3 linked regions of the Arabidopsis thaliana genome follow. The protein of the gene in region 2 interacts with the protein of the main gene of each other region in a biochemical or structural test. Each region holds a gene or a part of one and is shown on either strand. Other genes may lie near its edges. The genes, in order: PHOT1, NPH3 and PKS1.

Region 1 (12,694 bases), on a different chromosome or scaffold from region 2:
GTTCAAGCGAGTATGAAAAAGCATCAGGTCATAGGAGAGGCACAACGCGATACATGTCTCCGGAGCTTATACGACATGGGATTGTTGATTACGCTGTTGACACGTGGGCTTTCGGATGCACAGTTTTGGAAATGTTAACGGGACAACAAGTATGGGGAGAACATAGTGATCTCGGTTCTGTAGATTGGGACATTCTCATCGGTCAAAGCTGTTACATTCCTTATATACCGGATTGGTTATCTGAAGAAGCACAGCATTTTCTCAGCAGATGTTTAAAAAGGGACCCTGCTTCAAGGTGGGGGATTGGTGCACTCTTGAACCACCCCTTTTTGCAATGTGGATCTATAATTGTTTAGTAACGGTTTTGTTTATTAGTTTTAAGTTGTAAGATGAAGTATCCAACTCTCTATTTGGTATGTGTTTCTGGAAGTTTTGGTAAATGATAAGAGACTTTATAACTTTCATTATTAGTTTGCAATTGCAGTTTCAAGTTGTCATTGTTTCAATTCACAAACTAACCCACTTTTTGGGTCATAAGTTGTCACTGAATATTTATCACAAGATTAGCATATACAGCTCCTATAAGTAGTCACTGTTTCAATTCTACATCAAAATTCACCTATTAACTGACCAGTTTTCACACCCTTCCCTCTGACAGCTTGCATGTTTTGTATCTGTACATCGCTGGAATCTTGGAATAGAGATTGCTAGCTCCTTCTGACCCGCCCATAGTAGATGATACTTTATTCCCTCCTCAAGCATTATAGCTGAAGAAACCTATAAAAGAAAAGACTGAAACCATCACAAAAGAAAAAGAGCTCGAGAAACTAATTTAGACATGAAAAGCTCTCAGATTTGGCCAGCCATACATACTGAAAATGTCAAGAACAATCACAGAGCAGATCACTTGACGCAATGTGAATGAATCAAATGAGCATTTCTTACTAAGTAACACAATAACTACTAAAACACACACATAGGATGCAGCAGAAACGGTGTTGCTGTGAGTAATTAGTCCTCCACAAAGTTATAGTTTTCTGAAACACAAACAGAACAAGAACACTTAAAAGATTCAAAGAAACATGGATCTAATCTACTCTATCATAATCATTCTGGTTTGTACCCAATTCAAGCCTTAATTCTGATTTGAACTTTTTTTTTTATGGTTTCCATTGTCTTTTGTAGCCTTCAACTAAATTATGAAAAATATCAATTCTTTGTTTAACTTTACCAATTTAATCACATGAATTCGCATTATAATAACTTGATTAATGAAACAAACAAAAACATATGCAAAACTTGATTAATTTTATTGACATATATAAAAAACATATTCTTAAGAAACTCACACAAATTATTAGAAACACTTGGCATTATAAATAAATAAAGATAATGGTAAAATGAAAATAATTAAAAACGAGATTTTTGGAGAACAAAGAGTTTCAAACAATTCTTGAAAAGAAAACGATAAACGTTTAGTCCAAATCTCAAAAAACATTTGTTTGCAGATCTTCTAGCTCAGGATCAACAACTTTCTCTCCGTTTTCAGCTTCACCAGAAAATATCGGAGTCTCGAGCTCTGGAGGGTTCTGCATATCAAAATAATCTCATAAGATGATTAGTTTTCTTCTTTCACAAGTAAAACCGAAATGTTTCTTATATACCAAGTAAAGAGAATGTGTGAAGTTATACCGTGCATCGAATCAGAGCCCAATTTATGCCTTTGAAGAAAGAATGTTGCTTGACTTCATTTGCTCCTTCAAAACAACCTAGTCTTTTCTTCGGATCTCGTTGTAACAGCCTAAAAATCAGCTGTTTCACTTGAAGACTTGCCTGCAAACCAATAACAGAACAATTAAATATGATCCTCGATTTTTATGCATGAGATTAGTTTATAGAAATATAGTGATTGATCCATTACAGGAATGCTAGCTGGAAACTTGAGATCTTTTTGAAGAACATTGGTGAAAGTCTTCTGTCTTGTTTTTCCTCTAAAAGGAGTGTATCCGTATAACATTTCATACATAAGTATACCAAGAGCCCACCAGTCTACTGCACTCGTATGTCCTGCTCCGGATATAATTTCCTATCCATATGAGACATCAACTACTGGTTAAGACAATGGTAAATACCTTAATCACTGTACTTAAATTGGTATATATAATATACTAACCGGAGCAATGTACTCTTCAGTGCCAACAAATGAGTTTGATGCACGCATTGGTTCAGCCATGAAGATTGGAGTTTGTTGACTCTTTTGTTGCTTTTTCTTCTTCTTCTCGTCTATACTCGGAATCAACAGCTACAAGATTCATTAATCACCCTTAATTAGTATACATGAGCAAACTCTCTAGTAGAAGTGGAAACAATCTGAAGGGAAAGGTTGAGAGAAATCAAACCTGAGGTTTGCAAGATGTCAAGCAAGACAGATCAAAATCCGACAAAGAGATATCGCCATTGCCTTGGATTAAAACGTTTTCCGGTTTCAAGTCTCGGTAAATTATTCCTGAATTTAAGAAAAATTACAAAGATCAACTTAGTATCATGTCAAGATTCCTTGCATCCAAAATTTTCTTTGTAATTAAAGAAGAGGTTGAATGGATTGCCTTGACAGTGAAGATACTCGAGTGCAACGACAACTTGAGCAGCATAGAATCTGAAAGTTCATGCAGGGTTTTTGTTAGTTCAATATTTAAGTGAAGAAATCTTGAGACTTTTTCGAGCGAGGAACACTTGTACCTTACAGCATCTTCTTTGAGAACCTTCCTAGGTTGTCGATCTAGGAGCATGAAGAGTTCTCCTCCTGGATAGTAATCTGTTATAAGACATATATGTGTTTTTGTCTGCAGAATAAAACATGATCCATTAGTAACCAAAGACCAAAGAGACACGCATATATATATATATATATATATATATATATATATGTGTAAACAGAGGTTTTGACCTGAAAAGAAGCGTAGAGTGCAGGAAGAAAAGGATGGTCAAGCAAATCTAGGATCTCTCTCTCAGCTCTAGCTCTATGTACCTGCAAAAAATTATATCAGTGGCTACAAAACTTACAAATAAAAAGCGAAACTCAAGATTCCTTGAAGTGCAAGTTACTGTAATTACTTTGTTTCGGTTAAGCATAACAGCCTTGTCCATTGCTTTCATTGCAAACAACTGATCTGTTCCAACGAGTTCCACTAGATGCACACTGATAAAACACAAATGGGATATTATAAGATTAATGAAGGAAATGTTCTTTTTTTTTGTAAGCTATTTCATTAGATTAGATAGAGTTTCAGACCTTCCTGTGTCACCAGAACCCAAAGGTTTCACCGGTTTGAAATGCTTCAAACCAATCGGTTCACCACTTTCCAACACCTTTTGGATAGCTATCCATGGTGGTGAATCTTTCCTGTGAGGCTTACAATGAACAACCTTTGAGTGGTTTGCCCATAAATCCTCTGGTGTCTTCAGAAACAAGACACAATAAAACATTCTGTCAGATATATTCTAATAAACCTTAATCTAAAATGATCATATTCAGATCCTTAGACAATCACTTACCATGTTGGCATCAGGAAGTTCTCGAACCGCTTCATCGATATTCACAGCTGTTTTTTTCACCTAAAGAATATAGATTAAGGTTTAATACTTGATTTTCTATCAAACGAATACTAAATCAAGATCAATAGTTTAGGATTCCAGACCAGGTCTTCTCCCTCTTTCACTGCGGTTTCTTCAATGACATTGCGAACTGGTTCTACGTGCTTGCTCCCGTCTAGTTGAACTCCAATAAAGTATTGTACTTCTCCCTGTCAACAACATATCAAAGAAAGAATATAGACATCTTCAGTTTTAAATTCATAAACCAAAAGAAATTGAGGATTAGTTTGAAGGTGCCGTATAATGCAAGATATCTATGTAAACCATTATACCTTCTGATCACGCATAGGTTGCAAGTGGAAAATGTTCCAGAACTTCTTTCCTGCCACAGAGAATATAATGTAAATTTAAAACTTTATACAATGATCGACAGATTAATCTAAGAATATCGAAAAAATCGAGTACCGCTCTTGGTGTAGTTGATGAGCTGAACTGTCACTTCGGTTTGGTTATCAATAGCATTTCGAATCTTCTTCACTGTGGTTAGATCAGTCTCTGGACCTTGTAGAAACCTAAAACCATGAAACAAAATTTATAAACACATGCTCTATGCTCAAAAATATTTTCAAAAGACATTTTGAGATCACATTCATGTAATACCTGCAATTTCTTCCAAGAATTTCTTCACGGCTATATTCCGTGAGCTCCAAGAAACTATCAGATGCAAAAATCTAGAAACATAGGACAAAGCAAACAATACGTTTTCAGACCAATCGAAATGAAACATAACAAAAAAAGTTTCCATTTTTCTAAAACATTTGTTCTTACAATGGGATTATCGGGAAGCCTAGGATCAGTGATGACGAAATTCTTCTCGATACGTTCGAGTGTAGTAGCTAGATCAATACCCTTTCTCATTTCCTTTTGTCTCACTTTATCATCCACACTCTCAGGTCTCTCGTCCCTATCACTAATCTCATCGTCTTCTTCTCCATACTCTATAAATCCATCGTCTATAGATTCATCCAAAGATTCGCTCTTCTTCTTGATCCTATCACCAGAGTATCACAACAATCATATCAAAGACTAAATCGATTTTTATAAAGTAATTGTCAGGTAAACAAATGATCTAGTAAGGATTATTACCCCATGAAGGAAAGGGAAGATTTTCTAGATTTTTTCTCGGGAATTTCGTTGATTCGCTGCATCGAGTTTCTTCTTCCGCCGCCAGAGTTTCTTCGGCCTGACGGAACAACATTTTCGGACATTCGCCGAGCTGGTTTTTTCGGAAGTTCATCGCTCTCCGATTTTGTCATGAAGGGATGGAGATTCGTCGATTCGCTTAGTGCCCGAGGTCTCTTCACCGCCTCTACTAGCTCTGTCACTGAGTTTGTCGCCATATCTTTTTGGCGGGCTTTTACAAAACAAAATTTGAAAATATTTTTAAGAAAACATAATAAATGGAAAAAAATTTGGAAAAACAAATAGAAAAAGAAAGTATGTAAATACCATCGTATCGAATCAGAGATTCCGGAAGCCCATTGGGCCTCAAAGCCTTTTCTTTGGCCCCTTCAGTGTGCTTGCTCACCTCCACTTGCATTCTGGTCCAAATAAACAAAACATATTGGTATCTTCTGATTTTTCCTCAAAATCATATTTTTTTATCAGATTCTATAATTCTTTTCTTTTTCCTGATTGATTATTCTCTTTTGTTATTCTACAATAGGATCCGTCGGTGATACAAATCTTTGAATTATTGCGGAGAAAGCAACACAAATCACAGGTCCACACTTAGACCCATTAAAAAGGGTGACATTTTGAATGAAAGAAATAAAGGAGAGAAACGAGTAAATAAAAAGGAATAAGGGACTAACCCGATAAATTTGAGGACTTTGCCACTCTCGTCTTTAATGGGAGCAATCGTGAGAAGATTCCAAAAAGAGGTCCCATCTTTCTTGTAATTCAATATACGCCCACAATAATTGTTACCAGCAGCTAATGTCTCTCTTATCTTTGCTAACTCATCTGCATCTGTACCTGATCCTTGTAAAAATCGGCTACAATAAAACAAAAACCCAAATTATGTTCTTTTCTTCTTTCTTTTTGTAAATAAAATTCATTCATTGAACAAAAAATGGTGGAAACTTTTGTAAGAAATTTTTCGAATTTGCAAAGAAATGTTCGATTTAAAAGAAATATTTTAAGTTATCATTAAAAAATAAACTTAGTTTATAAAAGGCTATTAGTTTGGAAAAACAACATAAAAATTAGGTTTATAAAAAGTTTTTAGAAATTTAGTAAGAGTTACTAAATCATTTAGGATAACCATACCTAAAACTTAATCTTTGTAATTTTGGTACACAGTTTCGAAAAGTTCTAAAAAAATAAAATAAAGTTAGGTTTAATTTTTGAAAATTTAGAAAGAATTACTAAGTCATTTAAGATATCTTTATACATTTATAGTAACCATAAACCTAAAAACAAAACTATGATATTTAATTAGAAAAAACTTTGCAATTTTGGTAATTATTACAGAAAACGAAACGTATTTTATATATTAAAAAAATGCTCTAAAATTTTTTGAATAACTTTTTACCAGTTTCTGCCGACGACTTCTTTGGAAGTGTAACCAGTCATATTGAAGAAACCAGCACTTGCATACATAATCGGATAATCAGGTTTTGTAGCATCTGAGACCACAAACGTTTGTTGAAACGTCGACAACGCATCTTTTAGATCTTCCGATACTCTTGGAATCCCACTCCTCCCGCCGGGAACATCTCCGTCCGACATCTCACCGGAGCTCCGGCAAGAGTTTTGCGAGTTTCTCTGCGATGTAGTCTTTTTCCCGTTAGGATCATTCTCAGTTCCACCAGAGTTCCTCACGCCTACTCCTTGTGGCTTTCCCGTCTTTGTATCGGTCTTCAAAACCAATCCCCACTCTGCCGCTCTCTGCTCAGCCGCCACCGCCGACTTCTGTGGTTTCTCGGCGGTGATCGTCTTCTTGGAGATTGTCTCCGGTGATGGGTCTTTCAGAGCCATCCATGAGGTCGTGACAGCGATTTCTTGATCAGACCGAACAGGGTTGGATGGAGCTGGTTCTTGTTGTGGTCGGGGTTGAGGACTGGTGCCACGTGGATCACTCAAGTTTTGCCACGCTGGTGGTTCAGGACGGAACACCGGGTTATCGGGTCGGGTCAGCTGAGTTGACGGGTTGAATACTTCGAGAGAGCCACGAGTGTCTCTAGGTAGAGTCCGAGAAGATGGTTTGGTCGATGGTTTTTCTGTTGGTTCCATCTTTGAGCTCTCTCTATACACGAAACAAAAATTGTGGCCAGAAAATAAGTTTATATATAATTAGTTTAATGGATAGACATAGATACCACACGCATGTGTGTGTATATGAATCGGCAAATAAAAATATTTATTCTCTTAAAGTTAGATACTATAAATATATGGTATAATATTTTATTGATTTCTAAAAATGGACACATGACCAAGTTCTTTTGTGGTAGATGGATGGTTTGATTACTGAAAATGAAAACACTATACAAATATGTGATATGTGAACTAATTAATAACGGTTAGATATGTCATATGTTTAGTCATAAACAGAATGGGTTTGACCATAAAAAAAGAAGGAGAAATAGAAAGGAAAGTTGATTAAAGTTTGAAATATCAGTACAATATATGGAAATGGTAGTATTACTTATATTTTTTTTTGTCATTTAACTTCTTCAAGTAGTATGGTACATATTGGAGTTAACCTCTTTTCATAAAATTAAAAATAACTAACTTGCATTAAATATTTATTAATAAGAGATTATGTCTACAATTTTATACAAAAAAATATAATATTCTAAACAGACAATGTGGTGGTCCATTTCTACACGGATCGAGAGAAATCCACTCTATATCACTTTGGTGCATTTCTACTAAGGCTGACTGGATATGTCGATATGATTTTACTAGATGCTGACCATAAATAATTCATCAATCACTCATTTTTTTTGAATCTTCAAAAATGTTATCATGAATAACAAGAATCTTGCTCTCTTAGGTGTCTTTCTTTTGGGAAATAATAGACTAGACATATCTAACATGATAATGAATACATGTTTTATATGAATGTATATGCATGCAGGTAACATTATTAAATATGGTTCAAAGAGTTATGGTTTATGGGGCCATAGATGAATGAAGATATGAACTGGAAAATACGCCAATTTTGAGAGTGACAATTCCAAATGAAGCGGGGGTAAAATTGAGAAAACGACACAAAGGTGTAAAGTTTCAATGCTTTTTTGAGTTTTTAGTACCACACAACACATGCATCTTCTAAGGGTGGTTTAGTCATTTTGGTATAAAAATGGACAGTTGTTCTATTACAAAAACAGTAGCTGAACCGATTCTGTTCGATCGATCACAGATTTCAACTAAAAATCTTTGTCTTTTTTTCATGTTCTTGTCATTTTATCAATTTCCACATAAATGAACTTTGTAAAATAGTTTATCACTCTATTTATATGAGAACAAATAAAAAGAGTAAAAAATTTCATGGTAAATAGGAAAATCTATTTTTATTTAAAAAAATTGAAATACATATCTTTATGAATTATGATTGGAGAAATTTTAAATCGAATTCAGTTGAGTTCTTGAAATATGCAACTACCATGTGATGTGTGACTTTCACAAAAAAAAGCTGACATTCAAATAATTTATATATATACTAGTTTCAGATCAAGCTAGTAGCTAGAGTGCTAGACGATATAAAATGATATCTACTTCACTATTTATATTTTTACACATACAAATTAAGGCCGAAAATGTGACAAGAACCCTAAAAAGATGAATAACATACAAATTAAAAAAATGAATCGTCCTAAAAATAGCCTAAGAAAGTGAGCAAGACAGTATAAATCGAAGGGAGAAAACTACCTTGCAAGTTAACTTGTGCTGGAAGAAACAGATTATCCTTCGATTTTTCCTTCACTCTCTAGTCGAGAGATAAACTGAGGAATGAGTTTGGGATGAGAAGTTAACTTTCCCGAGGCTTTTTATACAAATAAGGAAATTTTTTGATAAGAAGAGATTCTAGAAAGATTAAAAAACTATTTAGGTTTCATGATTGATTTAGTTCCGTTCTAGCTCCATCACTGGATTATTTGATCTTCCCATGCTTCGAATGTTTTTGATTCCACATGGCTTCTTTTGTTTACTTTCAAAAGATTGTATAGAAACGTAACACTAGTATCGTTTATCTATCTTCTGTATAACTCTGTCTTGATAATTAGATTATAAACCTGAATATACTCTCTTTGTCAAACAAAACCAGACCAAACATAAATATATATTCTGACTATGCTCAATATTCAATTTCTATGGCACTTATTGGAAACGAATGGTTTATATGACTTAACCAACAATTTTATGATGTTGGTTTGACAGTGATTAATCTAGGTTTTGGTATAGGACAAACAGGATTATAAAAGAGAATATTGCACAAAAAAACTTGCTTGTTGTAACTTGTGCGTATAATTGAAGTAAATGATAAATAAAACATTTGAAGAACACATAAGTGTGTGGAGTGATGGTTGTTCTTTTAAAAGTTTCTGTGTGTGTCAGTGACTATAAGTGGGAGTGAGTTGTCATTTGAAAACGCCAAAACCGTTCCCAAATGCAAATGCAGAGACCCAATATTACATAGATGTTCTCTTTCCACTTTTGTAATGGTAGAAATCTCAGTCTTTATGCATTGCAAGATATTTCATGCAAAAACATTAAAGAAGAACATACACTTTTATCCGATTTAGTGATGAAATCGAACATGGAGATCGGTACAGAAATCACAAACAAATTAAAAAGCAATCACATGTCATTGTTATATGCATTTTTGGTTGATTTATCAAAACTTTCTCTCGCTTTTTTTTTGTCAAAACTTTCTCTCTTTAAAATGGTTTTATTAATTCTGTCTCTATTTTGTTTTCCAAAAATCACTCTAATTATTAATTAGCAGATAACTTCCCTATACATTACGATGCATAAACAAAATATATTGCAAGAATATATAGCAGTTGTTAACCCAATCGATTTGGTATGCTATCAAATCATGGGCACAAATACAACCTTAAACTTTGGATAAAAAAATAAAAATCCAACCTTAAACAACCATGCATTTGATCATTTGCATATTCTAAAAAGCAATGTGTAACTAGTTTAACGGTGTAACAAATATAGACTAGCAATGGCATAGCGCCGATACGTCTCAGATTGAATAACTAAATATTTTTTAATTGCATGTAAATATTGTTAAAAAAAAAAACAGTATCATCATTTGTAAAATTTGGTATTAATATAATGACCCCACTACACTCAAATTCAGTAACATTTTTTTCTCTTAAAAGTTATATTATGATCCCGGTAACAAAAATGGATCTGCCACTACAGACTGGTCATCCCAAGCGATCACGATCACTATCAGGCTTGGTTAAAAATATCAGAACAGTTCAGATTCAAACCCTTTTGTCGGAAACCCTATGGACAAAATTTGTGAAGGGTATAATACAAAGAGGAGAGTATGGTAACATTTCATATACAAGTAGGACCAGAACCCATGTGAAGATTGATCAAAGAGAAAAAAAGATCTTAACGGGTTATAATCTTATCCATCATGTGTCCATTGTGGGTTTGAGTGTGTGGTGGGGGCTGAAAATGTTACATCAATCTTCACATATTGGCCGCTTAACTTCTCCCATTTTCTAAATTGACCCCTTTTTCTTCCCTAGACAAATCAAGATTCAAGATGGGACAATGACACTGGTTAGTTTACATCAATCTTCACATATTGGCCGCTTAAATTCTCCCATTTTCTAAATTAACCCCTAGACAAATCAAGATTCAAGATGGGATAATGACACTGGTTAGTAGTTACTATATGCAAGAATATCTACATTAGGAAAATTTAATATTTTCTAATTACCATTGTTTTTCTATCGTCATATATATTGTTTTGGTAAAATATACGATGTTGGTCTACTGATAGTACAAGTAGGAATGTTTACATTAACACAAATTGTTTTGTTTTCTCTCTCCCTTAAATATCATTGATTCTAAAAAAAAAAGCATTGTTGAGGTAAGTTCATTTACTAAAAAACCCTACCATAAAAAAGTTCATTTACTAAAGGACACAAATAAAAAGGAGATACGTTGAAGCTTTGAAATACTGATGTGGTATTTTACGAGACTTTTCTAATGCTCAAGGTATTATTTTGGACCACATGATCTGGTCGAAAACTAATAAGAATCGGAATACGAAAAATAACTTGCATCACTTATTTATCTTTTATAACTAAGGGGTAACCCATATTTTTACCACCAGACTAATACATCTAAGATAAGTGTAGGTGTTGAGTAGTCCACTCACTTGATTTTCTAATGGATCTAAAGCATGACACAATTTTGATTGTTCAAATATAATGGAGTAATTTAGTAACTTGTATCATGACTCTATAGGAAGAAATTAGAGAAAGAAATCCACGACGAACTTTTAATATCCAATGATTAATCTGAATCGATAAGAGATATATGTATGTTTGTTAAAAATAATAAAGAACCAACTTAGAGTTGACCCAATGATAAATCTCTTAGGTGGAGGTGTTGGATTCGACACAAGTTGGGAGAAATTTCTTATGAATTTAACATTATTTGCGAATGGTTTATGCCGGTTCGGCTTGGTTCACACTTGGTTTATTTTTCTGAGAATATACTCTATTAGATGCTGATAATTGTATAGTTACGGATAGCTTTTAGATCTTCTCAACTGTAGGGATTTTCCTAGATTCACGACGTCTGTTGTATAGTCGATCTATATATGTTGTATGCTTCTCTTGATGATCAATAACACATATACATTGTCGAACTCTGTATTCCTTTATGGTATCAGAGCCTGAAAAGCAAAACTCTTGATTTTTTTTTTCTCGACAATGTCAACTGAAAGCAACACCTCCGCTGCGACTGAAGTAAGGAGAACAATCTCTCCTTATGACCTGACTTCTGCTGATAATCCTGGAGCCGTAATCTCTCATCCTCTCTTGAAGGGAAGCAACTATGAAGAGTGGGCTTGTGGTTTTCGAACCACGTTGATATCACGGAAAAAGTATGGATTTCTCGATGGTTCAATTTCCAAACCAGAAGAGACTTCCCCTGATTTTGAAGACTGGACGACGATTCAAGCTCTTCTTGTGTCATGGATCAAAATGACAATTGAACCAACTCTTCGATCCACCATTTCTCATAGAGATGTGGCTCAAGATCTGTGGGAAACATCTGAAAAAGAGGTTCTCTGTCATGAATGGGTCACGACTACAACAACTGAAATCTGAGCTAGCTTGCTGCAAACAGAGAGGTTTGGCTATTGAATCTTACTTTGGCAAGTTGACTAGGATCTGGGATAACCTCGCCACACATCGTCCGTTGCGTGTTTGTCGTTGTGGTAAGTGTACCTGCAATCTTGGTGCTGCTCAAGAGGCAGATCGGGAGGAAGACAAGACTCATGAATTTCTCAATGGTTTTGATGAGCAGTTTCGGGCGGTCCGATCAACTCTAGTGGCTCGGACTCCCATTCAACCACTTGAAGAGGTGTACAACATCATTCGTCAGGAAGAGGACTTGCGTGTTCCCGTAGAAGAGTCACCGTCAATGACAGCTTTTGCGGTGCAATCCAAACCACGTCTTCCAACTGACGAAAAGGAGAAAAGTTTCTTCTGCAAACTGTGTAATCGATCTGGTCACACTGCAGAGCGGTGCTATGCTGTCATCGGGTATCCAGAGTGGTGGGGTGATAGACCCAAGGGTCGTACTCTACAAGGGAAGGGACGTGGTGGCAGTACGTCTCGTGGTGGCAGGGGACGCGGAGCCTCCCAAGAGGTTGCTAATCGGGTTTATGTGCCGAATGTGGAAAACGTGACAACTGAACAAGCTAATCATGTTCTCACAGACGACGACCGATCTGGAGCTCATGGACTGAATGATACCCAGTGGAAAATGATAAAATCAATTCTCAATGCGGGAAAACAACCTTCAACTGAACAACAAACGAGTA
Region 2 (10,097 bases):
AGATACTAAAGTAGGTTTGAGTGATCAGAATCAATTAGAGTGTGTATAAGAGGAAGAGAAAGAGAAAACAGCATGTGTATTGCCGTATACCGTAAAGTTTTGAGCTTGAATCTGTATTGCCGTGTGATACTGTAGATTGTTTCACCTTTGAAGCAACACCTTCAAGAGTCAAATCCTTTTCTTTCTTATTCATCTTCCCTTCTTTTTCGGTATATTATAAACACTTTTGAAAATGGGATCACAACATTTCTATGTGTACCATTGTGAACAAAGAATCAGCTAGACTAAAAGCTCACTCTCCTTCCACAAACAAAACTTTCCTCCTTTTGGTTTTGGTATCTGTCTACTTTCTTCAATCAAGATTTCCTCAAAGTTATGGTGTGCCAATCACCTGGTAAGACAAGATTTCGAGGATTGAAGTACGAGACCGGAAACGCTAACGAATCAACAATTGTAGTGAGAGTTATTGAATGCTATCAACCGATGGATAATTGCCAGGTTTGTACCAGACAATAATGCTCTTGTTATCATACTTTTAGCTTATATAGTTCTAGTCTTCTAACACTGTGGTTTTGTGATTATTCTTTGTGTTTCAGGCTGAGTACTTCAGACTTCTACTCAAACCAGTCACGTAGTTGGTTGGTGACATTTCGCTGCATTTTTCAATCTGTGATTGTTTTTCGTTCGTCTTTCTTTTACTATTTTCTCGAAAAGGACACAAGAAGTATTGCATTCACTCAGTTGAGCAACTTAACAATCGGTATGCTCTTTTCCCTCTAATTACGCTTGTGATATTACTGACTTTATCTTTCTTGAGCTGATTTTTGCCTCTGTTTTGTCCTGCAGTGTTGTACTTTTTGAAGTTCCCTTGAGCTAAACTGCTAAGAGCATGCCTCTGGATAAGAGGCAACGGGATTTGCCTCTGGGCTTAAGTCCTCAAGCTTGCTTCAAGGATATAGTAGGTCGGTCTGTCCTTCCTAGAATTCCTCTCCCTGAGCTTGGGAAACTATATGCAGCTAAGCTTCAGGCTCGCTGTTTGCAGCCACCACCATTCCAGTCTTTGCTGTGCAGTCATGATAAGGAGTCTTATGGAAAAAGATTCTCACGGTCTGACATGCGGTCTTGGTGCGCTGCTGCTACTACTACTACTACTCCACTTGGAGCATTAGAGTCTTCTCAGAAAAGACTTTTGATATTCGATCAGTCAGGAGACCAGACTCGTCTATTACAATGTCCATTTCCTCTACGGTTTCCATCTCATGCGGCTGCAGAACCAGTGAAACTCTCTGAGTTACAAGGTATAGAGAAAGCTTTCAAAGAAGATGGTGAAGAGTTTCACAAGAGTGATGGAACAGAGTCAGAAATGCATGAAGACACTGAGGAGATCAATGCATTGCTATATTCAGATGATGATTATGATGATGATTGCGAGAGTGATGATGAAGTAATGAGCACTGGTCACTCTCCTTATCCAAATGAAGGAGTTTGCAACAAAAGGGAATTAGAAGAAATCGATGGTCCTTGTAAAAGGCAGAAACTACTGGATAAGGTCAACAACATCAGCGACTTATCATCACTTGTGGGCACTGAGAGCTCCACACAACTCAATGGATCTTCCTTTCTTAAGGACAAAAAGCTCCCTGAATCAAAAACCATATCGACCAAAGAGGACACTGGTTCTGGTCTGAGCAACGAGCAGTCGAAGAAAGACAAGATCCGCACAGCTCTGAAAATACTCGAGAGCGTAGTCCCTGGTGCAAAAGGAAACGAAGCGCTCTTACTTCTGGACGAAGCAATTGATTACCTAAAGTTGCTGAAACGAGACTTAATCTCCACAGAGGTTAAGAACCAAAGCTCCACCACTCACAAGTCACCAATCTTGTTGCTTAAAGAGACAACATGGGGAACAAGAAATCTGCAGACAGATAAGGCGTGAAAGATTCTGACGAGTTAAAACGTGTGAAGTGGGTTTTTGGGTACGTATCCTCTGCACCAGCTTTTTAGCTGTATATAGTGGACTACTTTTAAGTATTATATATGCTACTGCAAATTTCAAAAAGTTAAAGAAGAAAAGAGGTCACTTTCTTCTTCTCTCTGTGTGGAATGAAAAGCCAAAGTCGTCATGGTCATTGATGGACAATGATTATCTTTTTTGGCTGAGTGTGGATGGTGAAATCAAAAGGCAAATATTCAAAGTCTCATCTCAAGCTCGCGTGATCTATGAATCTCCCCTAAGGTAATAAAATATCTCTGACCCACACACACTCTTTTGTCCATATGATGACTAGATGGGTCCATGATTTTTATGAAATATTGATGTCATGTTCATGTAATTAATTTGAGTGTCTGTAATAATGCAAACTATTCCTTTGTCTTTTGCTTCAACCCACATGCTACTGGTATTGTTGTGTCTCTATTGTTGTATTGTTAAATGGTTTTGTAATAAACAAATGGCGTTTTTTGGTTTGTGATAAAAATCGAATCGTTTATGTCACTTATTCCATATTAGAAACCAATAAACATTACAAATTAGGAACAAACAAAAGCTTTTTCTTTTCAAAGAATCAAAATCAAGAAGATACAAAACCATCACTATCACTTCATGAAATTGAGTTCCTCCATCGTCTTGGTTTCCTGGGGGGTGGATGATCAACACCAGCTTGTTCTCCTCCAGAGGATATGTCATGGCTCTCCTGTCCACTCATCTTAGTCAGTTTACTTAGCTTCTTCCAACCGCTGGTCCAAGCCGAAGAAGATGGCGTGTTCTTCACTTTCCCCGTCTTCTCAAACTGTCGTTGCATCACTTCCATCTCGTTCTGAAGCTCGACGTACTTGGTCTTCACCGTCTCTAACTCGAACTTCAACGTGTTAATATCCTTCTTGGCTGCAGCCCATCCTTCCTGCATTCAAAGTAGAGGAATTAGAAAAAAGGAATTTGTGTGAATTTTGATGAGTGTTTTCTCTTACTTGCCTGAAACGATTGTGGTGTTGCTTCGATCAATGTCTTGCGATTTGGGATCATAGGCTGATACGTACCCATGGCTTCTCCTAAAGTGGTTGACTCCTTGAGTGATGTGTTGGCTAAAGCATTGCTGATCTTGACTTGCTCCGAGAAGAGAACTTGAACCACCACTCTCAATGGCAACCTCTCGTTCTGAGCCGCGTGCATACATGCGTCCATTGATAGTTTTTGACAATCCATCACTCGGCATAGCCGTTTCCTCTCATGCTCCGATAATGTCGGATGCGCCTATCACAACAAAATTAAGCCAAAAAAATGTTGAAAACTATTCTACGAATTTACCAAAAAGACCTTCAATATATATATACCTTGAGATATGAATCAATGGCTCTGTATAGTCCATCGTCACAAGTCCTAGCAGATTCCGGTAACGCCTCAGCCAAAACCTGAAACTTTGTCAACGGCAAATTCCGATCTCTAGCAACTTCGGTGAGATAACTATCCACAAGCCTCGCCACTCTCATTTTCGCATTCTGATTATTACCACCACCACCACCACCATTGTTGTTATTCCCTCTCGGGATATCGGCGTACATAGACTGCGACGGCGACGGCGACATTCGACTCGGACTCGATCCTTCCGTCTGTTCTTGCACAAGAAAATGTTCCAACAATCTCTGAACAAGATCAACATCGTACATTGTCTCTCCTTTATTGTTATAACCAGGAATCAAAAGATCTTGAAGCGTCGCTTGTTCGAATTGCATCCCTACGCGTTTCTCGAGCTCCGTGATCAACGCCGGAGCTACTTTGAGCATGTTTGCTGCTCTAAGAAGACGGAGGAGGAAGCTACAAGTGACGGAATCTTTCTGTGGAGGGATTATGCTGATTAAAGATTCGACGATCATTCGTTGGTCTTTTGGACTGATTCCTAGTCCGGCGAGACAAGCGACGGAATCTTGATGTCCGTTTGTTTTTCCGGCGGAGAGAACCATATGAAGACCGCCTTTCCAATCTGGTCCGGAGCTTCCTCCGCTGCTGTTGCTTCCGCAGCTTATACTCATTTCGTCTCCTCCTAAACCTAATCCTCCTCCAATGGCGGAGGACATTGCTGGAGCTATTGCAACTCCTCCTTCTTTGATCAAACCCGGAAGCCATTTTCCGGCGTAATGCATTATTACAGCTCCGAGTAGTTCAAATCTCATACCTTTCACCTGTTTCAATGGATAGAGGATTGAGATATGTACACCAAGTGTTTGTGAAAATGCTTGAGAGAAAAATAACCTATGTGTAGTAGTACCTTGATTGCAGTGATTACACGAACGAAATGATCGATTCTTAAGATGGAGACATCTTCGAACCACCAATCTGGAGGAACAGGCTGGCTATTAGTGTTCCTACTCGGACTACAATAGAAACTTGAATCTTTTGATTCGTTCCATCTCGGACTAGAACCCGCGAAATTTGTTGTTGATGGAGATGGAGCTTTCCCTGTGTAAGCCCATCTAATACCTTTTGGATTACTACAAGCTTTCCAAGCGATAGATTCACTACACCTTCTCACAATCTGAAGATTCTCAGCCCAAGGTGAGAGCTTTTCACAGCTCTTCAGGACCAAGATGGAGTCTCTCCATGAAGACAGAACCACATAGCTGAGAAAAGCTTCTGTCTTGAAGATTAGATTCCCTTCCTCAAGATCCTCTGTCATCTCAAGATACTCAGCTGCACAACGTAATCCTGATATGTTAGTTGCCGTGAGATCCACGGGAACTCCATAGCAGAATTTGGATGCAAGCTCAAACGCTTCTGGTCCTCCAGGTAGATCATCAAGAATAAGGATCGTCGGGTCAGGATCTCGTGACTCATAGATCAATCTGTTCATCTTCCCGCTACGTGACAGCAACGGATACTGAAAGGAAAGAAACACTTTTAAATCCATAAACTTTCTCTAGTTCCAGCTTAAAAATATTGACTCAAGAATATGAAGTTACCTTGTGAAGGTGAAAGTTCATGTCGCCGATCTTAACCAGAAGATCGCTGGGGATATCCGTAGCAACAAACCTAATCATAGGCAAAGGTTTTTGATATGAGTATTAACTTCCTTAACAAGGAAACATGTTCTTTTTGCAGAGACTGTAGAGAAAGTGTGAGGATATTACCAAGATTGGCCTCTAAGCTCAAACCCATCAGTCTTGACGCCGCCATGCTTGTTAGAACTCAAAACTCCATCACCATACTCTCTTCCTCCTCCACCTCCAACTCCAACCCCACCGTCGCTCTCAGATTCCCACATCATACACAAGTTAACACTCTCTGTAGTTGGAAGCAAGAAAGGACCAAGGGAAGATATATAGAGGATGAGAAGATCAAAGTGAAACAAAGAGTTTCCAAGAGAAGAGAGATTGATTAGTTTTGATTATAAAGATGAAAGAGAGAGTGGCAAAGAGAGAGAGAAGAGAGAGGGAGATATTATCCCCACATGGGATGCTTCGAGAATTGGAGCTTTCTCTGAATTGTCTATTTTCTCAGAGAGATTTTCAAAACCAAAGTCTCTCATATATCTAACAGCCTGTGATGTAATGGGCTTAAAACTCTCTGCTTCTTCAATTATCATAATTTTTTTGAAATTTAGTGATATAAATTTTGCCCATTCTTATCATATAATTCAATCTGTCTTTTTTAGATTTTACATTAAACATTATTAGTTTACTGACATTGTAGTATGTTTTTTAGTGAAGATATGAGTTGGTTAAGTAGAGAAAAAAATAAAATATATATATAAGATTTGGGGAGGGACAAGTTGGAGAGTGAGTGTCATTAACTATGACAAAGCCTCGTTCCTTCTTCTTTGCCTGTCTGTTTTTTGATAAAATGTTGAATCATCTCTATGTACATTGCATTTAACTTTCTTTTGGTATCTTTGCTTTCTTTTCCTCTTTGAGGCTTCTCTTATATGGGTCCATTTCCCTAACTTCTCTTCTCAATCTTGCATATCTTTTCTCTTACTTTCTTTCATATTATTCCTCTTTCTTTCCCCCAATTCATAAATGTTTCCAATGTGATTAGTTCTATACCAATTATAGAAACCTTGAGTTACTGTTACATCTAAATGAGTTCTCTATAAATACTGAAATGTGAAAGTGATTACTTTCAAAAGCACTAACCACCTACGGGTTACAAAAAGTAGATTAAAGTCATACTATCAATTTTGAGAAGTTATGACATTAGATATTATTTCAAGAGATAAACATATGATGTTGTAGAAATTGTATTCACAATAGTTTTCAATGGTTGTTGGTTGATGACAAAGATAATAGAAGGAAAAGTTAGAGGAAATTTAAAAGAGAGCATTAAAAACAAAGGTTGTTCATACATACATAAATGGAGATCGAGATAGAAGAAGTGGTCCATAAGAATGTCAGCTATGTACATTAATACACACGATGGTTATATATGTATTAGTCGTAATCTTCTCTTTGCTACTATATATAGACCATGCATTTCTCCAAGTAACTTTTGATTAGAATGGTAATTTCCTACGACAACAACAAAAAATAGGTTATGGAATTCTCCAAGTAACTTAGGATTCTATGCAAAGTATTTGCAGAACCAGCTTGTATTCATGTGTTAAATCTAACTAGTGTTACTACAAGAAAACCATCAAACGTTTACGATGAAAATATTAAATTGTGAATTCATATGGTACAACAATATTAGTCACTTTCAATTTTAATTTTTTTCAGTAATTAGATTAGAATGATAACACTTTTTTGTACAACTAATCCTCTTTAGTTATGTTTTCATGTTATAAAGTGTTTCAATCACATAGTAGATAGTACTATAGAAACATTTCCATATGATAAAATGATTGATGGTCATATTCAATAACCAATCCAATCACCACGTTAAAACTCTTACCCCCACATATACAATGCCATAATAATTATATAATGGCCACATCTTGATTGGATTGTTGTTACAAGGGGTTAAAACACTTGAGATCAATATCTTTTTTCTTTTAAATACACAAAGTAATAATCATGTGATCTTTTTATGGCTTACATTATTGATGATGGTCGTGGTAATACAAATGCCACGTCGCCTTCATATGTTAAAAGCTAATATAAAATTGTCGGTTCAAATCAGACAGGATATACTCATCCGACGGCTGAAGGAAAACGTTATAATAAATCTAACGGCCAGGATCAACTCAAGGTTACTTCTCTTGTTTTTGTTTGGGCTCAGAAGGGGCCCAAAATAAAAACAAAGAAAACAGGGCCCAAAATAAAAAGAATAAAACATATTCGAGCCCTCTAACTTATAAGGTTTCAGAGACCAGAAGGGTAAATTGGTAATTACCGATGTTCTAAAGTTCTTCTCGCTCGTAGGAACCAGAGAGATTCTGTCTGATTAATGTGGGGTTTATGGTTATGCTAGCGAGATCAAAGCTAGCTCTAGATGTGAGCAGAAGATCACAGTCTTTGCAAAGAATCTGCTACTACGCAAGTCTCTCCTCTAGATTTTCCGGCGGCGGCGGAGATGATGGCGGCGGCAGCTCACCGGAAATCGGTGGTACCGATTCAGCAAACGAATGGGAGAAGCTCCTTAAACCATTCGATCTGGATTCTCTAAGGAATTCATTTCACAAGATAACTCCCTTTCAGCTCTATAAGCTACTTGAGTTACCTCTCAATGTATCCACTTCAATGGAGTTGTTCTCATGGACCGGTTCTCAAAACGGTTATCGTCACTCCTTCGATGTGTATCAAGTTCTTATAGGTAAGCTTGGTGCGAATGGTGAGTTTAAAACCATTGATAGATTGTTAATTCAGATGAAAGATGAAGGAATCGTTTTTAAAGAATCTCTTTTCATTTCGATTATGAGAGATTACGACAAAGCTGGTTTTCCTGGACAGACAACGAGATTGATGTTGGAGATGAGGAATGTCTATTCCTGTGAACCCACTTTTAAATCTTACAATGTTGTCTTGGAGATTTTGGTTTCTGGTAATTGTCATAAAGTTGCAGCTAATGTGTTCTACGATATGCTTAGCCGAAAGATTCCTCCAACGCTTTTCACATTTGGTGTTGTGATGAAAGCTTTTTGTGCTGTTAATGAGATAGATTCGGCTCTGTCTCTGCTTAGGGACATGACGAAACATGGATGTGTCCCAAACTCTGTTATTTACCAGACTCTTATACATTCGTTATCGAAGTGTAATAGAGTGAACGAAGCGCTTCAGCTTTTAGAGGAGATGTTTCTGATGGGATGTGTTCCTGATGCTGAGACTTTCAACGATGTTATCCTTGGTCTCTGTAAGTTTGATCGGATTAACGAAGCTGCTAAAATGGTGAACCGGATGCTGATTAGAGGGTTTGCTCCTGATGATATAACTTATGGTTATTTGATGAATGGTCTATGTAAGATAGGCCGGGTTGATGCTGCAAAAGATCTTTTTTACAGAATTCCGAAGCCGGAAATTGTGATCTTCAATACTCTTATTCACGGGTTTGTGACTCACGGAAGACTTGATGATGCTAAAGCTGTTTTATCAGATATGGTCACGTCTTATGGCATTGTTCCTGATGTCTGCACATATAACTCACTGATCTATGGATATTGGAAGGAGGGTCTTGTAGGTTTAGCTCTGGAAGTTCTTCATGACATGAGGAATAAGGGATGTAAGCCTAACGTCTACTCTTATACTATTTTAGTTGATGGTTTCTGTAAATTAGGAAAGATAGATGAAGCCTACAATGTTCTTAATGAAATGTCTGCCGATGGACTGAAACCCAACACTGTTGGTTTTAACTGTTTGATATCGGCTTTCTGCAAGGAACACAGAATCCCCGAGGCCGTAGAGATTTTCAGAGAGATGCCGAGAAAAGGCTGTAAACCCGATGTGTATACATTTAATTCGCTGATATCTGGACTATGTGAGGTCGACGAAATAAAGCATGCCTTGTGGTTACTTAGAGATATGATATCAGAAGGTGTTGTTGCTAATACTGTTACTTACAACACGCTGATCAACGCGTTTCTTAGAAGAGGTGAAATCAAAGAAGCTCGTAAACTAGTAAACGAGATGGTTTTCCAGGGATCCCCGCTTGATGAGATAACCTACAACAGTCTGATAAAAGGGCTGTGCAGGGCCGGGGAGGTAGATAAGGCGAGAAGCTTGTTTGAAAAGATGTTAAGAGACGGGCATGCACCAAGCAACATCTCCTGCAACATACTTATAAACGGGCTCTGCAGAAGCGGGATGGTGGAAGAAGCGGTTGAGTTTCAGAAAGAGATGGTTCTGAGAGGATCGACACCGGACATTGTGACATTTAACAGTCTGATAAACGGTCTGTGTAGGGCCGGTAGGATCGAAGATGGTTTGACGATGTTTAGGAAGCTTCAGGCTGAAGGAATACCGCCTGATACGGTGACGTTTAACACTTTGATGAGTTGGTTGTGCAAAGGAGGTTTTGTTTATGATGCTTGCTTACTTCTGGATGAAGGTATTGAAGATGGTTTTGTTCCAAATCATAGAACTTGGTCAATTTTGTTACAGAGTATTATTCCCCAAGAAACACTTGATAGACGAAGGTTTTATAATGCAGCTTTTTGAAACTAAATACAAAATTTGTTTGGTTAATGTTACTGTGGTATGTGTATGCTGTCACCCAAATTATGATTTTTTCCCTTATAGTTTCAAGTTCCTCAATTATTCAATTAAACTATCTATTGGGCTACTATTAAGGCCTCAAGGCCCAGTTTTTTTTATGGATATGTCAATTTGATAATAATGCTGTAAATTCTTCATTTGGTCAAAAAAACTTTTTGGTAGAATTCTTCATTTGGTCATTGGGCTAATTTGTTTACTAGTTAGTCTTTTATATGCAAAAAGATTCTGACGATATAATTTAGACATGTTACCATAGTTTTCTTGAAGTAATTTTACACCTTTTTTAATTTGTTAAATTATTAATAACGTGTATGATTTTGTTTCAATTGATTAACAATATTGTTCATGTAGATCATGATTTTGTTTCGCTTTTCCTTAGTCATTGCACTTAATTAGTTTGCTTAATTAGTAAGACAAATATATGCATAATTATTGTGACAATTAATTTAGGCATGCTACAT
Region 3 (9,650 bases), on a different chromosome or scaffold from region 2:
GCATACCAATTCAGTTTAATCGATCTGATGGCTTAGGATTTATTTCTCTCTGTCTTTTCCCGTTGCTGAGTCAAGAAAAGATCCGTCATTGATGGTGAAAAGCACAAACTTGCTGATGTGAAATCTGATGTGTTTTGTTTTATCTGATTTGAAGCTACCGTCTATATATTTTACTTGTCATTTTCAGACCTGACAAAGCGATGAGAACGTTTCTCCTGTGTTTTGTTTTGTCTGATTTGAAGCTATCGTCTCTATTAACGTCTATAATTAAGAGCGATTTCTCAGTACCCGCCAAACTTTAAGGATAAGAACGTCCAAAGTCGTCCTATGTCTACTTCTTTCCCTAGGAGAAAACGTTCTAAAGTAAGATTTCCACAATACTAAAGTCCTTGTACACTGTACGCACTAATAAGTAACTCCATATTAGTTAACTAGTTGGTTAGAAGAGCTTGAAGATTAGATATATAGTTTTTGCCTAAGATACTCTCAAGAACGTACACACACTCACATAAGCTGAAACAAAAACAGAGGATACAACAGAAAGAAAGTACTGAGAAACTGGGCAATGAGGCAGACGCTTATTTACTTGTAGCATTATTACTGTGACTGAAGCAAAACCACTTTTGTCCTTTTAGAAATTTCTCACAGAACCTTCTCTGAAGCTGGCCTCTTGGTGATCTCAGCCACCCACTCGTTGACACGTGGACGCTCCGTGAAGAGCTTCTTGGTGGGAGTTCCGAGCAGGTATTGAATCACGGGAATGTGGTGAAGATCGGTCAAAGTGAAAGTTTCACCAGCCAAATACTTGAACTCCTTCAGCCTAGCCTCGTAGACATCAAGGACCTTGGCTAACTTAGCTTCTTCTTCTGCAACAACGGCTTGGTCTGTGTTCAAGCCATAGTTGAACTTGAATACTTGTTCCCAAGCAAGCTTTGAAGCCACGGGATCGAACTGATGAGCTTCTACTTGTATTCCAATGGACATGATTGCATACTGAGCTATGTTCTTGGAGTCAGCTGGGAGAAGGTTGGTTCCTTGGTTTTCGTATCGGTGAGCTATGTACTGAGTAATCGCTCTTGATTCGAAGAGCTTGAGGTCTCCATCTTCAAAGGCTGGAACTTGACCAAAAGGCTGAAGATAGGAAAGAAGTTCAAACACAAAAAACATTTAAGATTCCGATCAGTTACGTACATCAAAAAAGTTTGGTCTCTTGTCTTACAAAACAACACATAGATAGATAAATATACTTACGTTGCGGGAGAGGAAAGGCTCCTTCTTGTGCTCACCGTCTTTGAGTTCAACATGAACGAGCTCAAAGTCGAGGTTTTTCTCATGGAGGGCGATGAGGACTCTCCTGGTGGAAGTGGAAGCTGGGTGTCCGAAAACTTTGATACCTGCCATTGATTTGGTAACTAAGAAACTCTTTGAAGACCGAGAAAAAGAGATAAAAGAGAAAGAGATGTGATGTTTGATGTTGAAGGTGAAGGTGATGAAATAACACACAAGTAAAATAGTGATGGTATTTTTTGTTTTGATCAAAAGTAGTGATAGTATTTATACAGAAGCATTTCTGCTTTATCCCTCACTGTTTATAGTAATATTATCTAACAGATAATAACGCCTCTACAAGACCGTCGCAACCAATATTGACTAGTCTTCTTCTTGGTGGATTTTTCAAAGCTAAATTGGATTGATTAACGTTTGAATATTTGTTTTTACACTGGTTATGAGATAAAGTTTTTAATAAAGCATTCAATGAATCAGAGAAAAAAATTAAACAAGTCGTAGTAGTAACGGCCAAATGACTCAAACTTCCACCTACTAGCTTCATCTAGTAACTTTCTCCCTTTTGTGATGACGGTTTTAAAGCTTTCTCTTGATGTGAAATTCGCATCTTAACCAAACTAGAAAGGTATGCAGTTTATTCTTTTTAGTCAGATCTATTGAATTGGTTCAGACCGGATCAATTCGGATTATGCTGATCAAGATTAAAACATTTGGTTAAGATAACCGAACCTAATTCAATAATGTCCAAATTGTTCTTTTGTCCGAAGGCTAAGAAAATGTTTTGGTATTGTCCCACATCGCTAAATAATTAATCGCTCACTCTTGGAGTTGGTGTATATAAAAGAAGCTTGATGGACTAAACCATTCATACCTTTCTCGGCCTTTTGGCTAAGATCAAGTGTAGTATCTGTTCTTATCAGTTTAATATCTGATATGTGGGCCATCGGCCCACACGATATTAACTCTATTTTTTAAGGGAGAAAGCCCGTTAAGATAGCTTGCTATCTGGGCTTTCACGAGTCGCCCATGCGTTGCACTACTGCATGGGCCTGGCTCAACCCGCCAATTTGAAAGCCCAATATTGTTCTTTGTTTCATATTTTTATTTAATCATTGTTAAATACTTACTTTGCGTCGATACTTATCATTAACCACTCTTTAGGTGCCACGTGTGGAATATGTCCCTCCTCAATCAAATTCAAAGGTGAAATTTTTACACGGCGCCGTCTCCTTGATCTCGCCGTGGACCGTCGTCATTGATCACAATTTAGTGATTCTCTTGGAGCGGTTTTAGATGATGAATTGATTTGCTTTTGTTATGTTTATGTGGCGCTTGTTCGTTTTGTGTTTAGGAAAGAGACACAAAGAAGAGGCTTTTTTTTTTTTTTTTTTTTTCCAAAGAAGAGACTTTGTTTTCGATGTTTTGAATGTTGATTTATGGGCACATTGCCACATTCCTGTTGATTTCATTGAATTGGATACTTTAGAGAGACAGAGATTTCAGACGAAACTGGACTACTTACGACATCTAAACAATGGGTTCTTCAAAAAAGAGTGTAGAGTTTATGATCTTCTTGAAATAACTGGTAATGGTTTCACTCGGGGCAATTGAACATTAAACGTTACTTGGTAATCAGAGGCAGAGCACTGTGATTGTTATCTTTGTGAAAATCGAGTGATCTTTCCTTTAAAGGTTTATTTTTCTCATGTTATGATACACTTAGGGGTGCTTTAAAAAGATTTGATTTTCTTTATGTTGGCATATGATCATTATTTCCTTCTCTCTGTGGAAGATATTAGGAACTGACACATAGCTAGAGACAGTCAAGAATCCTAGTTTTGATGTACTGTTACCACTTTGTTGTCAGATAATATAAGATTGTTATTTCTATAATCATCATCTGTTCCTGAACCTATGTTTGGGGTTTTTTTGTATTCTTTTGGTAACATGAAGTAATGGAGATGCAGCAAACGACCACACAAGACTCTTCTCCTTCTCTTGGTGGGCTCCTGAGGAACGAACCCCTTTCACATCAAGACAGTGAATGTTTCACCACAAACTCTATGGAATTAAATAGAAACTTCTCTCAGCCATTTTTTGTCATGTGGGATCAGAGTCTCATCTCATTACCAACTTGCCTTTATTCACTTGACGAAAGAGAGCAAGCGGATGCTTTGAGGCAATGTCCAACCAAAGAATTCAAAGATGAGTAATCTTGTTTTGCTTTCTTAACACAAAATGTCTTCTTGCTTTTGTTGTTCTTCTCTCATCCACATATGAAAACTAAGTAGTTAGATGATTAGATTTTTATATATAGTGTGGTCAATTATTTTCTCATATCTTTTGAGAAGGGTACAATACTTATCTTCAAGATCTGTATGTTTCTTGGTTTTAAGCCCATACTAGCTATACTAGCTTTGATGTCATCATCTTGGTTTCATTTATGTCTTTTCTTGAAATCTAATTAGCCCTTTTTGAAATATCTTACAGAGAAATATCAGTGAACTGGATAAGATCATTTGGGGTAAATTCGATCATTTCCCTTATGAGTAGGCTACAGAGACAAACATCTTTGATCTTTCTTTGCATTTATTGTCTTAGTAAGGCACTTTGGTTCTTTTCTCTCATATTGTCAACTAGCAATTAAGGTTTTGTCTACCTTACTTTTATTTCAGACATATACATGGCCTTTAGATGAGTTTCAGGACCAGATCTTAGATATGTTAGGTAATATGACACTTTCATTGATTTAAGTTTCCTCATTAATAGCTCTTTCTGTCAATCTAGTGTACGTTTGATTTAACCCTTTCAAGCTAAGACAAAACTCATATCTCTCTCTCTTGAGTCTTGAGACTAAATCCAAAAAAGGTAAAACTTGGTGGAGCCAATTTTTGGAATGTCTCTCTGCTTATTTTGCTGAATTTGAGATCTGTGTTTTTAACTGACCATAATGTTTTGTTTTCACTCTCCAATCATTTGTCACTCTTTGAGTAACTTTTTCTTAGGTGCAAAAGGTCTCTAAGAAACCCTTTTAAATTGATTTGATCATGGACTCAACAAGACATTATTATAAGTTTACATATCTTTCTCACTCAGTAGAAATTATAGATAAAGAGAGATCAGAGATTGAAATCTTTTTCTTTTACTTTCTTGCAATCACTGACTATAAAGAAGAGATGATTGTGTGTGAGAAATCGAGCTGTTGCTGATCCTTCTTCGTGTTTCGAAACTCTTAGGTTTAGTAGTCTCCATTGGGAATCTAGGAACGTAACTCGGTTGTGTCTTGTTCATGCTGCTTCTTCTGTCTAAATCACCAGAAACCATAACAGATTTATGACTCTTGCAGCTCATCAAGAAACCATTCCCTCCGCTGCTGCTACTCGATTTCCGTCTCTGCGGTGCTGATTTAGCGGTAATAGGGATTCGAGGAATCTGAGTAGGTCGGTTTCTTCTTACAGGACTTGTTGCACATTCTGACATAACAGAGAAATCTGCTGCACTTGCTGTCACTATGCTCCACTCTACGCTTACTTCACTTGGCGCATAACACGTAGGTGAAGCTGGATCACTTCCTTGCCTCGTAAGAAAAGGTTTAGGGTTCCCTGTAAGACCCTCTATCTCGAAAAGATCCGAGCTTGAATCACTCCCTTCACTCTTTGTGTCGTCCTCCTCTGTTCTCGATTTCCATGGAGGCAATGGTAGTTTCTTCTGAACAACACTACTCTTCTTCTCAATAGCCACTGGAGATCCAAAAACTTCAAGAGACTTCCTCTGTGATAACTCCTCTTGCTTCTGAATCTTGATCAGTTCTGTGTTCATATCCGCAGAAGATCTCATTGTGATAACAGAGATATTCGGATCAGCGCTTCTCTTGACCGAGGTTTTCTCCTCGACATCTACAGAATCCCCATCAGAGCATGCGCATTTACACCCCAAATTTGCGAGAAAACTCTTCTTATTATTGGTCACCTTTTGAATCTGACCATTACTGTTCTTCTTTTCCTTGAAGGAACTGTTGCAGCTATTCACCAGTTTGTTCTGAAGCAACACGCTCTGACTATTCCAGCTTGATTCAGACCGGACACTCGGAGTACCAGTAGATTTCTTCGCGCTCTGCTTCGAGTCGACGACGGTTCTCTCAACTTCTGGGTTTGTCAGAGACAGAACACTAGAACCTTGGTCTGAATCCATGTCTCCATTGAAGTACTTCTCAGCTCCAAACACACCAATCTCTGGATCTTCAGGAGCTTTCTTCACCATTTTCTTCTCATCACCAAACTCCTCTTGTTTTGGATTAATGCTCATGTTTAGTGTTTTGCTTGGTTCCATGAGCTTCTTGGTCGTGACAAGAGCATCTTCCTTGCTGCTCAAGTAAGAAGAAGAAGAAACATAGAGACTGCTGTGACTGTTGTTATTCTTCATGAAATCAAAAGATGTTTTTGGGGTACTAGCAGAAGATGGTGTTAGTGTCACCATTTTCTCTTTGGTAGCTTTATATTTTTTTCTCTCTTTATTGCTTGTGTGTAGATATGTGGAATTAGGGTATAAATAGAGTAACAAGACGATATGTTTGATAGCTGTTTTTTTTTTTTTTTCTGAAGCTAAAAGTGTTATGATCTGATCAATGTGAGTGGGTTCCAGTTTGAGTCATTGGCCAGTTGTTGTGTGTGTGAACTGATTTATTTATATATTTGGATAATGAATCTTTGCCAATCAATGGAGAATAATCGAAAAATAATGTTACCCCCGTGACCACAAAAGAAAGGAATTATAATGATATGGTCTTAATTCGATTAGGACTTATTAATACAACAGTACTAGTATACTACTCACATTGCAACTGGATCTCTTAAATAATTTTCTAACCTGCAGATTTCAGAAAGTGTTTTTTTTTATACGTTCAATATTCGTATTTTGTACGTAGACGTTTAGCACTACTATACGTTTTTAAGATTCCGATTTAAAACACATTTGCTACTATATTTGTAGCAACTAAAACCAACTCCAACCGTAGTTTTTTAGTAGAAACTCATACAATTACAAAAAAAAATTATAAATTAAAAAAGAGATGAGAGAGAATCTCTAAAATTGGGAGGATCGTTTCTATTATTCATATAGGTTGTTTTTTTTTGTTTTTTGGATATAAAAATAAAATATTAATACTTTTTGTTTTTTTAGAAACTATATGAATCCTATACATTGGAGGTGCTCTAATGTACAATCCGTTCGGACACGTTAATTACAGATGGGGGTGTATGGCTATATACTTCACATTCATACGATTGTTGAACCTTGTGAGATAATTGAGATGATTAGCTTTAGCAAGAAGAGATGATTTTGTTGGATTGTGTGCAGGTTTAAAACAATCTGATTTGCATTGAGGACTCTCTGTTATAAACCAACATTTTTTTATTATTCTTAAAGGACTCTCTGTTATAAACCAACATTTTTTTATTATTCTTAAAGGACTCTCTTAATTACTTAAACTAAAATTTTGATTAGCATTGTATGTTAAAATAAAATAATACATTGGATAAATAAATTAAACAAAAACATACATTGGATAAACTTATTAACCATCATACAATTAACAAATTAATGACATCGTCAATAAGATCGGAAGATAAATGATTGGATTTTACCAATGGTGTCAAAGAGTTTTACATGAGAAAAAAAGTAGATTTAATGTATTGTTTTTCTTAATTACTTCAAATTAAAGTATTGTTTCACATACTTAATAATGGGCTGACAAGTTTTCGGACACACATTTTCAAAGACATGTTAGGATTGAGCTGACAAGTGAATCTGGATTTACTTGTATTTTAACTTCTAACTTTTTTCAACTAGAAAAGTAGTGGATATGGATTTCACTTGAGGAACAAAAATACAAAAATAGAAACTTAGAAAGCACGAGGGATGTACGTATTTTGTTGCATGGGGAGATATTGACAAAGACCATCGAGTTGGGTTTTGTTAAATATAGTAATATTTTATGTTATGATTTGACGTACGCTCTATAATTTATGTGTAATGTATATTAGAAAATTCATGGAATCGTATCTTGTCATATAATACATATCAAATAATGTGTATTGTTTTTGTTAAATATAACATAACGAAAGATTAATTAATTCAAACATAAAATCTATGTATCTGTCAATCAAGAATATTGTGTAATGTAGTTAATAAAATATGCTTATTAGTTGCTATAGTCGACGTATCACGTATGAATGGTTCGAATTGATCCCACAGCATACGTGTTTGTTTCTCAACCACAACCTTTATTCGTCCAACTAAAACAAAAATGATCATTATGAGATTTACCACAAACCACAAGCATGACTACAAATATCAAAACTAATAAAAATTGATTATATACCAAAACGGTATCACCAATTTATGATGTACTACGTATACTTTCTAGTACCGTTATCTGATTTTTAATTATCATTATATAGGATTTTTTTTTAAATGTCTCTTTTACAATATTTATATAAAATCATATTGTAATTTACAAAAGCTGAGGTGATTGGTAATCCTAAAGGCTTCCATATGCATATAAAATCATAATTTACAAAATTCTTAGATATCTCGAGAGTTTTGAAGATTGCAAACCGGAATGTGTTCCAAAAAGTTGTAATCAAGCGGCAATTAAAAAACTCTAATTAACTTAACTTTAACTATTTTTGATATTGTTCAAAGTTATGGATTTAAGGATTGATAATTTCGGTTTGAGTCAACTCTCCCAGTAAACAAATGCTAGCAATATAGGGGCGTTTCAAGTTGCAGAAAAACACACTAATTGTCTCTAAAGTCTACAGCCAGAAACACAATCTGATAGGTCCCAAAAGCAACAAACACACACAAAATCCCTTTTTAATGGTAGTTTAAACTACCTATTTGTTTTGATTTTCTGATCAATATATGGAAACAAATGAACGATGGAAATGGAATCAATCATGATTCTTACAACTTAGGGGAGACGGAGAGATGGTGAATTGCATAAACAACTAAAAGAAAAGCACTCATTCAAAATCAACGTGAACCAACTCAACCTTCATGTCCGCGTTATCCCTTTTGGTCTCACAATCTATTCCATGTTATGCCCATTATTGTCTATGGATAATGTTTGGCATATACCAGTGAAATTTGTTGGACGAAATGGTTTAACATCCCGTATATTGACAAAGAGGTCGTGGGTTCGGAACCTTTGTTTTGCAAAAAAATACGTTTTCTTAAATTTAAGTATAAAATTCATATAAAAATACGGTTTAGGTATGAAAAATGCCCTATAAATTTATTTGGGTATGCAAATGCACTCAGAATGGGTATTAACTCTTTTCACCAGTCGAGAGACTAGAGATAGAACAAAATAGAACAATAAAACAATTTAGGGGCTTTTTTGCAAATATCAAAACCCCTCCTAATTTAACTCTTCCGCCGCCAAATGCTAAACCCCCAAAGGCCAAAGCTTCTCCTCCTCCTTCACTTCCTCTTCGTCTACATCAATCTGATTTGAGGGATCATCTCCTGACGAAGTTTAGGGTTTAGGGTTTCATTTATCCCTCCCAAAGTTTCTTTCTAGTCTCTTCAATTACGATGATCTGCACGGAGTGCGAAAACGACGCCTTTGACGAAGAAGACGACGGATATTACTACTGCCAACGATGCGGTGTTCAGGTTGAAAATCTGATCCAAACCGGCGTCGACGACGGCGATTTAATCGGTGAAGGTGGAGGTACTCAGGGCGCTCTGTATAACCCCAAACATCGCCGGACTGAACCACAACCAATCACTCCTTCACAGCCTCGTTTTACAGATGACACAAGCCGTTACTCTCAGTTTAAATCTCAGTTTGAATCTGAAAACGGGAATAAGGAATTGCCCCGGGAAGTGAAGAGAGCGCCTGACAGTTATGTCGATAAAGAGCCAACGGAGCCTGTGGATTTTGCAGCAGAGACTTTGAGTTATGAGAATTATTACGATGAAGCAAGAGATAGATATGTTAAAGCTTTTCTTATGATGATCACTTATCAGTGTGATGCTTTGGTTGACAAGTTTAATGTCACTCCTTTGATTATTGGTTTGGTTGGACCTATCTCTTTGCGTTATGTGGCTCTCTCTGGCGTCTACCATAAAGATTGGGCCAATAACGCCATTCGTGATTCCGAGCATCAGTCAGAAGATGGTAGAAATCTATTGACAATGTTGTCTTGTTTGGTGTGATTCTATTTGTTACTAAGTTTCACTCTTTTTGGTGTCTTGCATTGCAGGTGAAGTAAAAGATGCTAAGAGGCTTAAAAGACACAAAGCTGAGCCGCGTAACATAGATGGTAAAAGAGCAGTGACGATATGGTTTGGTA

The links.
Region 1: the proteins of NPH3 (region 2) and PHOT1 form a complex in vitro, tested with the Arabidopsis thaliana proteins (one study listed by BioGRID).
Region 3: the proteins of NPH3 (region 2) and PKS1 form a complex in vitro, tested with the Arabidopsis thaliana proteins (one study listed by BioGRID).

Annotation. Positions count from the first base shown.
Region 1 is NC_003074.8:16,812,754-16,825,447, reverse strand, and holds PHOT1 (phototropin 1), read right to left. Parts: upstream 8,728-12,694; 5' UTR 8,533-8,727; intron 7,102-8,532; exon of another isoform or gene 6,905-7,101; 5' UTR 6,892-6,904; coding exon 6,191-6,891; intron 5,652-6,190; coding exon 5,469-5,651; intron 5,196-5,468; coding exon 5,104-5,195; intron 5,009-5,103; coding exon 4,741-5,008; intron 4,646-4,740; coding exon 4,423-4,645; intron 4,326-4,422; coding exon 4,255-4,325; intron 4,167-4,254; coding exon 4,060-4,166; intron 3,977-4,059; coding exon 3,927-3,976; intron 3,804-3,926; coding exon 3,699-3,803; intron 3,616-3,698; coding exon 3,556-3,615; intron 3,460-3,555; coding exon 3,293-3,459; intron 3,200-3,292; coding exon 3,115-3,199; intron 3,029-3,114; coding exon 2,948-3,028; intron 2,844-2,947; coding exon 2,740-2,843; intron 2,657-2,739; coding exon 2,607-2,656; intron 2,507-2,606; coding exon 2,400-2,506; intron 2,303-2,399; coding exon 2,174-2,302; intron 2,087-2,173; coding exon 1,922-2,086; and 6 more. Other genes in the region: AT3G45790 (Protein kinase superfamily protein), read left to right, coding at 1-295, 383-443. UniProt on the Arabidopsis thaliana protein: Protein kinase that acts as a blue light (BL) photoreceptor in a signal-transduction pathway for photo-induced movements.
Region 2 is NC_003076.8:25,722,729-25,732,825, reverse strand, and holds NPH3 (Phototropic-responsive NPH3 family protein), read right to left. Parts: upstream 5,701-10,097; 5' UTR 5,259-5,700; coding exon 5,122-5,258; intron 5,024-5,121; coding exon 4,954-5,023; exon of another isoform or gene 4,902-4,953; coding exon of another isoform or gene 4,872-4,901; coding exon 4,263-4,871; intron 4,177-4,262; coding exon 3,331-4,176; intron 3,251-3,330; coding exon 2,972-3,250; coding exon of another isoform or gene 2,921-2,971; intron 2,901-2,920; coding exon 2,601-2,900; 3' UTR 2,468-2,600; downstream 1-2,467. Other genes in the region: transcription factor SAC51, read left to right, coding at 890-1,936; AT5G64320 (Pentatricopeptide repeat (PPR) superfamily protein), read left to right, coding at 7,387-9,579. UniProt on the Arabidopsis thaliana protein: May act as a substrate-specific adapter of an E3 ubiquitin-protein ligase complex (CUL3-RBX1-BTB) which mediates the ubiquitination and subsequent proteasomal degradation of target proteins.
Region 3 is NC_003071.7:850,706-860,355, forward strand, and holds PKS1 (phytochrome kinase substrate 1), read right to left. Parts: upstream 6,021-9,650; 5' UTR 5,764-6,020; coding exon 4,444-5,763; 3' UTR 3,372-4,443; downstream 1-3,371. Other genes in the region: GSTF3 (glutathione S-transferase F3), read right to left, coding at 643-1,131, 1,252-1,401; MEE12 (maternal effect embryo arrest 12), read left to right, coding at 8,887-9,475, 9,561-9,650. UniProt on the Arabidopsis thaliana protein: May be responsible for light-regulated cytoplasmic sequestration of phytochromes or may be a negative regulator of phytochrome B signaling. Component of the network that modulates the very low-fluence response (VLFR) branch of phyA signaling.